2 linked regions of the Oryctolagus cuniculus genome follow. The protein of the gene in region 1 purifies or fractionates together with the protein of each later gene. This does not show direct contact. Links are inferred from orthologs where the notes say so. Each region holds a gene or a part of one and is shown on either strand. Other genes may lie near its edges.

Region 1 (3,743 bases):
ATCTCCTTTGTCCACTCCTCAGGCCTACCCCATCCAAAGGGGCAACCAAGTTCATGAGCCAGGTGTAGACCCCTCCACGGCAAGTGCTTATACTTCTGCGTTGCTTACATCTATTCTTAAACCAAATGTGTTATTTTGGGCACTTTTGAAATTTCAATCAGACATATGACACTGTACATATCACCCTGCTTAAATTTTCATCCATATAGCTGTATATTAATCAAGTTCATTCATTTTAGCTGTTGTATTTGCAAAATTTATACCACATTTTACATAGTTCCCTTGTGAAAATCATTTAGGTGGCTTCTAATTCTTGTTATCATATACAGTGCTACAATAAATGCCCCCATGAGCACATGTTCAGGTAGGGTGAATGACCTAGGTATCCAACACTAAGTTGTAATTTTACCAGAAGCCTCTCTTCATTTTCATCCCACCTGTACTATTAGACTGCTAACACGTTAAGTGTGAAATGGTATTTTCTAGTCATTTTAATATGCCCATCCCAGGTGACTCCTGAAGTTAAACATCTTTTCACTTATTGAATACTACAGCTTCTTCCTCTGCAAAATACCCGCCCAATCACTCCACTTTCTAAAATGCTGCAAAAAGATACTGCATGGATAATACCAGCACACTGATAGTCCCAGGATCTGAAAAGTAAGGTTGAAGCTTTTGGAAAGTTTTCCTGAAAATAATGCATTCCTAAACTAGACGAGATTCATGACACAGCATCACAATTCCACTGGTGAAACCAAGGCCTCTTACAGGTTACATGTCCCTATCACTCGATGTCTTACTTTCTGTGCAAATTATACTGCAATATATGATTCATGATCTGAGGAAAGTAAGAGAGCTGGGGTCTCTGGCTTAGAACAAAGAAAGGCCCATTTTCATTTCAAGAATGAAAACCAAAGGACTGTATTCCCACCTTCCTCCACGGACAGCCAGGCACACACACATTCGCAGCAGTGCTGAGGATGGCTTCAACTCTGAATCACCATCAGAAAAGAAACAGTAACAACCTAGATAGTTATTCACATTTAAATACCACAAACAGCTCTGACCCTAGGAGAGGGCAAGTCCATTTTGAAGGTAAGAATTTCTGTAGCTGTCAAATTATCAATCTTATTGCTTATTTATAACATTTTTACATATTTTTTCTTTAACTTTTTGTTGATGTAGTTGAAAACCACTGGCCACTATTATCAAGGCATTTTCTTCTTACAATGCTAAAGAGAAATCTGCCTCTATTCTTTATATATCCGGAAACAGACCGCTATGAAAGTTGCCAATTGTGTTGGCAAGGAGTGTGAAAGGAAGTCTCTCGGTCGATGGAAATTGGATAGCAAGGATACTTTTGATCATCTACATGATGGCATCAATCATTCAAGAAACAGTTAACCTAAGGACTTCCACAGTTGGCTTCGCCGTGTGGTTTTGTCCTTTTAGTTTGAACTTGGATGTGTCTGACATAAGGGGAGTTAAAAGGCATTTAAAATATAATGACAGGGCATAGCGGGTAAAGCCACCACTTGCAGTGCTGGCATCCCATACGGGCGCCGGTTCAAGTGCCAGCTGCTCCACTTTGGATCCAGCTCTCTGCTATGGCCTGGAAAAGCAGTAGAGGATGGCCCAGGTCCTTGAGTCCCTGCACCCAGCTGGGAGACCTGGAAGAACCTCCTGGCTCCTGGCTTTTGATCAACGCAGCTCTGGTCATTGCAGCCGACTGGGGAGTGAACCAGCGGATGGAAGATCCCTTTGTCTCTCCTTCTCTCAGAGTCCTTGACTCTGACTTTCAAATAAATAAATAAATCTTAAATATATATATATATATATATATAAAAGAGTCCCAGAAGAGGATCACATAAAAGCATCTGTGTGGTTTCCATCTCCGTGCCTCTACAGCTTTGTGCTGCTCAGCGGGGCTGAGTCGTCACCAAACCACAGATGCAGCAATGACCCCTGCAGAGGGGAGGCCCCCTCTCTGGCAGTGCTGATGTGCACTTGGTTCACATTTTTCCAGAACAATGGCAAGAAAACAGCAACCTCCTTCCATGGAAGCCAAGTCAGTGAAAAGGGCTTTTTGCTTTTCCTGCTGTTGTGGGAAGCCACGCCTCATCCCCAAGAATCGTCTGAGACGCAAGCATGTAATGGCAACTCCTAGTCCTCCTACGCCACAGGCAGGCCCCCCCAAAGCCCAAAACACCTCCAACCACAGACTTGGCAGAGAGGTGTCTCAGGAACTCCACTCTCACATCCAGGACAGCTTGGGGCCCTATGGAGACCATGCAGCCCAGTGGGCTGGGTGACAAACATGTGGCAGCTGACAGGGATTCTCTTCTGCTTGGACTGGAACGGCTCCTCCACTGGCAAACACACAGCTACGGGCACCTCCCAGGCCCCATCTACAAGATAAACAGTGAGTCACTCATTCTCACACTACAACCTGGTCTTTGTATGCCACATACTGACCATATGTCCATTAAGGTTTATTGAACAATTACAGCTGTGGGCTTAGAACTCATTAGCAAATGCTAACCAGTGAGGTCAACCATAAACAGGAGCAGGTGAGGTAAACTTGAAGGTCCTGAGTCCAGAACATGCCATTGGAAACAAACTTATTCCAAGTGGGGGGACAGGGCTCACGATGACACAGGACACAGAGGGTGCAGAGAGGGAGGGGGGAAACTGGAGCTGCTCAGGGAGGAAGTGTGTTCTTTAACTCTTGATTAGAACAGAACAAGAAAGAGTAGGCTTCATGGTCGCAATTTTACTTTCTGTGCATTAAGCACTCTTTTGTCATTTAGCAAGAACATTTTTTTTCTCCCTTGGAAAAGTGCATTTAAAGCTAAAGCAGCAAGCTTAAACTTCAGGACACTAAGAGTATTTCAAAAATTTCACAGAAGTGGCATCTCATGAAAAAACTATGCATGGATTGCAGCCTCATGCAGCATGTTTCTGAGCTGAGAACTGCACCTGATTCCAAGATCAATCTATCATTTGAATGATCTTTTTCTAGCTGGTGATGAAATCAATGGCGCTCTTCAACATTTTACGTACAAAGAGAATCACTAAGTCAACTCCTCCTCCCCACACAACCCTGCCCCATCTTCCTGTTGAGCCATTGCCTTATACAATGTTTTAGCAACCAGCTGCCTGGGAGTTTACCCAGGCCCATTCCTTACTTCCTGCAGAATAACCGTTAGCACCCATTGGACTGTAACTACCTGGTTAACTGCCTGCCTGCCCCACCCGCTAGAATGCAAGCTTCCAGAGGGCAGGGACTTTCCCGCCATGGCCTTCTTGTGCTCAGCACATATTAGGTCCTCACTGTATGCACTGACTGAAGGAATGAGTAGGCTCACCATTGACATTAACATAGGGTTTGTAAATGAAATGCCTTTAGAATATTGAGAGAAGCAACGGATGTCAACAGGCCATTTAAGTTGGCCAAGGAGGAGCAAACGGCCTGGCAAAGCTAATCTGTGGCCACCTTTGGCATATGGAACCTACGTTTTTAGGTTGGGGTGTGCAAGTAGGGTCTGAGAATTCTCAACAATAAGGAAGGGTACCCAGTGTTGTACCCACACACTGTAGACGGCATTCTCCAGCTTATAAACGCCTCAGCGGGCCGGCCTCGGGGCTGAACCACTTAACCAGATGGGGCACCGAAAGCTCCTGGAACAGGGAGCCCCGTCCAACCTTAGGAAAAGCTGCCAAGTGGACACCCAAAGCTGGAG
Region 2 (3,659 bases), on another chromosome or scaffold:
TACTTTACAAAAATGTACAGCCCTGCACTCAGTCCTCCGTACAGCACCGCACACCTGCCAACCTGCACAGGGCACTGGGCATTTGGCACTCTCTACAGCCCTGTGCTTCCAGTACTCCATACGGTACAACACGACCACCACCTCCATAGGGTATTCCACAGCTGCTGACCTCTGACCTCCACAGTATCATGTAGCCACTGACCTCTGACCTCCCGAGTATCATACAGCTGCTGACCACCACCTCCATAGAGTACTATACAGCCACTGACCTCTGACCTCCATAGATATTATACAGCCACTGACCTCTGACCTCCATAGAGTATTACACAACTGACCATCAACCTCCATAGAGTACTATACAGCCTCTGACCACCACCTCCATAGAGTACTATACAGCCACTGACCTCTGACCTCCACAGAGTATAATACAATCACTGACCACTGACCTCCACACGGTAATATACAACCGCTGACCTCTGACCTCCATAAAGTATTATCCAATCGCTGACCACTGACCTCCACAGTATCATACAGCCACTGACCACCCCCTCCATAGAATACTATACAGCCACTGACCTCTGAACTCCACACGGTAATATACAACCGCTGACCACTGACCTCCACACGGTAATATACAGCCGCTGACCTCTGACCTCCATAGAGTATTATTCAGCCACCGCCCACCACCTCCAGGGTTGTAATATACAACCGCTGACCACCGTACAGAACCACGCACTTTGCGAGCAGGGTAACACCTCTACCGCGACTCCCTCCAAACTTCCACAGGAGACAGGGCCGCCTCGAGTGTCACCCCGTAAGTCACCAGTGGCACCAGGCGCTGGAAGTGACCTGGTCAGCCCGAGCTCACGCATCTTCACGTGAGGAACCGGGACAGAAACTGGAGTTCTCTGCACCAGGGCCCTTCTCCGTGACGTCACACAGGAGGACACAGCACCAGGGCCGGGGGTGGGGGGAGTCGCCTCCCCCTGGACAGCAGCGGCACCTCCTGTCCACTACCACCCTGTGTGCACGTCGTCCTGCAACCCTGACAGGTGTCCTCTGCCGCCGTCGTGGGAACGCCGCCGTGTCCCAGGAAACCAGCTGACTCGGCACCCCTGCCCCGCGGGAGGGCCCCCACGTCCCGCCTGCCTCCACTGCGCCCGCGCAGCGCAGCTCGGACGGCCCGGTCCCGGAGCACCCGGCACCACCTCGCATGGCCCGGAGCACCCGGCACCACCTCGCATCGCCCGGGGCACCCGGCACCACCTCGCATGGCCGCACCACCACCGCCTCCTGACTTCAAGCGCTGGAGGCAGCGAGTGGGGCCGTCCTGCTTCCTCTGGCGTGGGACAGGCACTCGGGAAACGTCCGTGGACCGCAGGCGCGGAGGCGCCAACTCCCAGGGGCGCACAGGCCAGCTATCCGGAGCACTGCAGACAGCTCGTCGCGTCCGCGTCGGCTCCCTGGACGCCCGTCCCGAGGCCCCTTCACCAGGTCGAGCCACACGCCGCTCTCCCGGAGGGACCCAACGTCGGGTGACGACAAGGTCGAGTCTAAACGTTATCTCGGGCGCACCCGAGTCACGGCTTTGCCTGGCCTGCCTCACCCGTGCCCAGACGCACCGAACGAAGGCAGCGCGCACGCACACGGAGCCGGACCCCGCACACCCCACGCGTGCAGAAACACGCGCGGCAGCGGCGCTGGCTGACTGGGAGCTGCAGTTCACTCACTCCCAGGAAAAAAAAAATCGCAACTGGAAAGCGTGGCTTCCCCTAAACGTCTGCCCTATGCGCAGGCGCAGCCGCAGGCCGCGGGGCGAGGGTCCCCGTGGCCTCTGCTGGGTTCCCACCGAAGGCGCGAGGCCGCCGCGGGCTCCCACCTCGGGGTCACTCCACGCTCCACCGGGACTCCAGCAGCCACAGTTCCGGACGAGGCCCAGGGGTCGGGCAGCACAACGGGCAGTGCGCGCTCCGAAGCGGGGGTCCACGTGCCCCGTCTGCCAACTGGGCACCGCAGGCCACAGAAGCCGGTGCCCGCGGCCAGCCCCGCGCAGACGCCTGACGGAGCCCCCGCTGCTGGCCGGGCCACGCCGACCTGTCCAGTCGGCCAGCGCCACTTCCTCCCGGGATCCGGTGTCCTGCGGCGGCCGGGGAGCGCTCCGAGGGCGGAGGCCTCGTCCGTCTTGTCCACCCACGCCCAGGACGTGCGCTGGGCGGGAACGCCAAGTCAGACAAGGTCCCGGGACACGGACACGAACGCGTGACAGCGGAGCGGCCCGCGCGGGAGCCTCCCACGGGGGAGGTGTGGCTCGCGGCTTCCTGGTGCCCAGCGCCAGGCTGTCCTGGGGACAGGAGGGCCTGCACCGCGCCGTCGGGCACGTGCTGGACGTCGGCCGCGCCTGGCGAGGCCCGGTCCTCTCGGCCTGGCCCCCGCGGCTGTCCGCAGCGGGCCGGGCAGCAGGGGCCAGGCTGGCGCCGCGCACCGCGGCCCCTTCCCGGCCGGCGCAGCCCCGGGCCTCGGCCAGGGCCTCGAAGGCCCCCGCCGGCCGGCCGGGCCCCGCAGCGGCGCCGTCGGGGCGGAGGCGCGCGCGGGGCGGCGGCGGCCTCGGGCTTACCTCGGAATTTGAGCTCGTGCTGCGGCTCGAGGCTCAAGACCTGCTCCACCTTCGCCATGGTCGTCGGCGGGCACCTCCGGCCAGCAGACCCGAGAGGTCACCTGCGCCGCGAGCGCCAAGGCCGCGCCCCCCGGGAGAGCGACAGAGCGGGGCGCGGCGGGGGCGCGGCGGGGGCGCGGGCCGGGCGCGGCGGGGGGCGGCGGGCGGGGCGGGGGCGGCCGACGCGCTGCGGGCGCAGGGGCGGAGGGCGAGGGCGAGGCCGCGGTGCCCGGCGAGCTCACGGCACGCACGCACGCACGCACGCCGCGACGCACGCACGCACGCACGCACCCGGCCGGCTGGCTGGCTCGGGCCGCGGGAAGCTGCGCCCTGCGCCGGCTCCGGGGGGCGGGGCCAGAGGCTGCGCGCGCGGAGGCCCGCGGGGGGGGGGGCGGCCGGCGCGCAGGCGCGGCACCGGCGCGGGGCGGGGCTGCCTCGGGGGGCGGGGCTTGGCGGCGCTCGGGGGCGGGGTCGGAGGGTGCCCTGCAGGGCCGGCAGTCCAGGGCCGAGGCTGCGGGTGGACGGCCCGCTGGGGGCCGGCCGTGGCGACCACCAGCGGGACGGGGACAGTTAATGCACACTTGCACTTGGCTCCCGCGGTGCCAGGCGCCGAGGTTGTGAACACTGGGGGAGGAACTTGTTAGAAAGTGCGCGGTCCGGGCGAGGTACAACCAACTGCCAGCTACTGCCCGCTCGTTTTCCGCCGCTCTACCGGGTGCTTTTCACGTAAAAGCCACTGTGCGTTAAACATGTAACAGATGTGTAGAAAAGCCGTCGGCTAAGAGGGGGCAGATCTGCACCCCGCGACCGTGGCCGGGTGCGGAGAGGCAGACGCAGTGCGTGGCTGAACGCTGCCGGGGCCCAGATCCGCGTCCCCTCGGAAGTGGACGCTGGGCATCCTTGTTGCCTTTAGAGCCACTTCATTCTGTCACCCCGACGGCCCCTGTGCACGCGGTCCCGGGTGCCTCGGGAGGTGCCTGTCGGGTACGCGGTCCCGGGTGCGCTC

Evidence for each region. Proteins that work in one complex are often made in the same cells at the same time.
Region 2: the proteins of SLC22A15 (region 1) and VAPB purify together in Homo sapiens (co-immunoprecipitation; 3 studies listed by BioGRID and IntAct, with this or other methods). This does not show direct contact. The link is inferred for Oryctolagus cuniculus from reciprocal best matches to the Homo sapiens genes SLC22A15 and VAPB.

Annotation. Positions count from the first base shown.
Region 1 is NC_091438.1:54,447,675-54,451,417, forward strand, and holds the start of SLC22A15 (solute carrier family 22 member 15), read right to left. Parts: upstream 2,420-3,743; 5' UTR 2,320-2,419; coding exon 2,224-2,319; intron 1-2,223. UniProt on the Homo sapiens protein: Organic zwitterion/cation transporter with apparent specificity for amino acids and their derivatives. Has low affinity for its substrates and may regulate their flux across the plasma membrane at high substrate concentrations.
Region 2 is NC_091442.1:3,793,108-3,796,766, forward strand, and holds the start of VAPB (vesicle-associated membrane protein-associated protein B/C), read right to left. Parts: upstream 2,898-3,659; 5' UTR 2,673-2,897; coding exon 2,615-2,672; intron 1-2,614. UniProt on the Homo sapiens protein: Endoplasmic reticulum (ER)-anchored protein that mediates the formation of contact sites between the ER and endosomes via interaction with FFAT motif-containing proteins such as STARD3 or WDR44.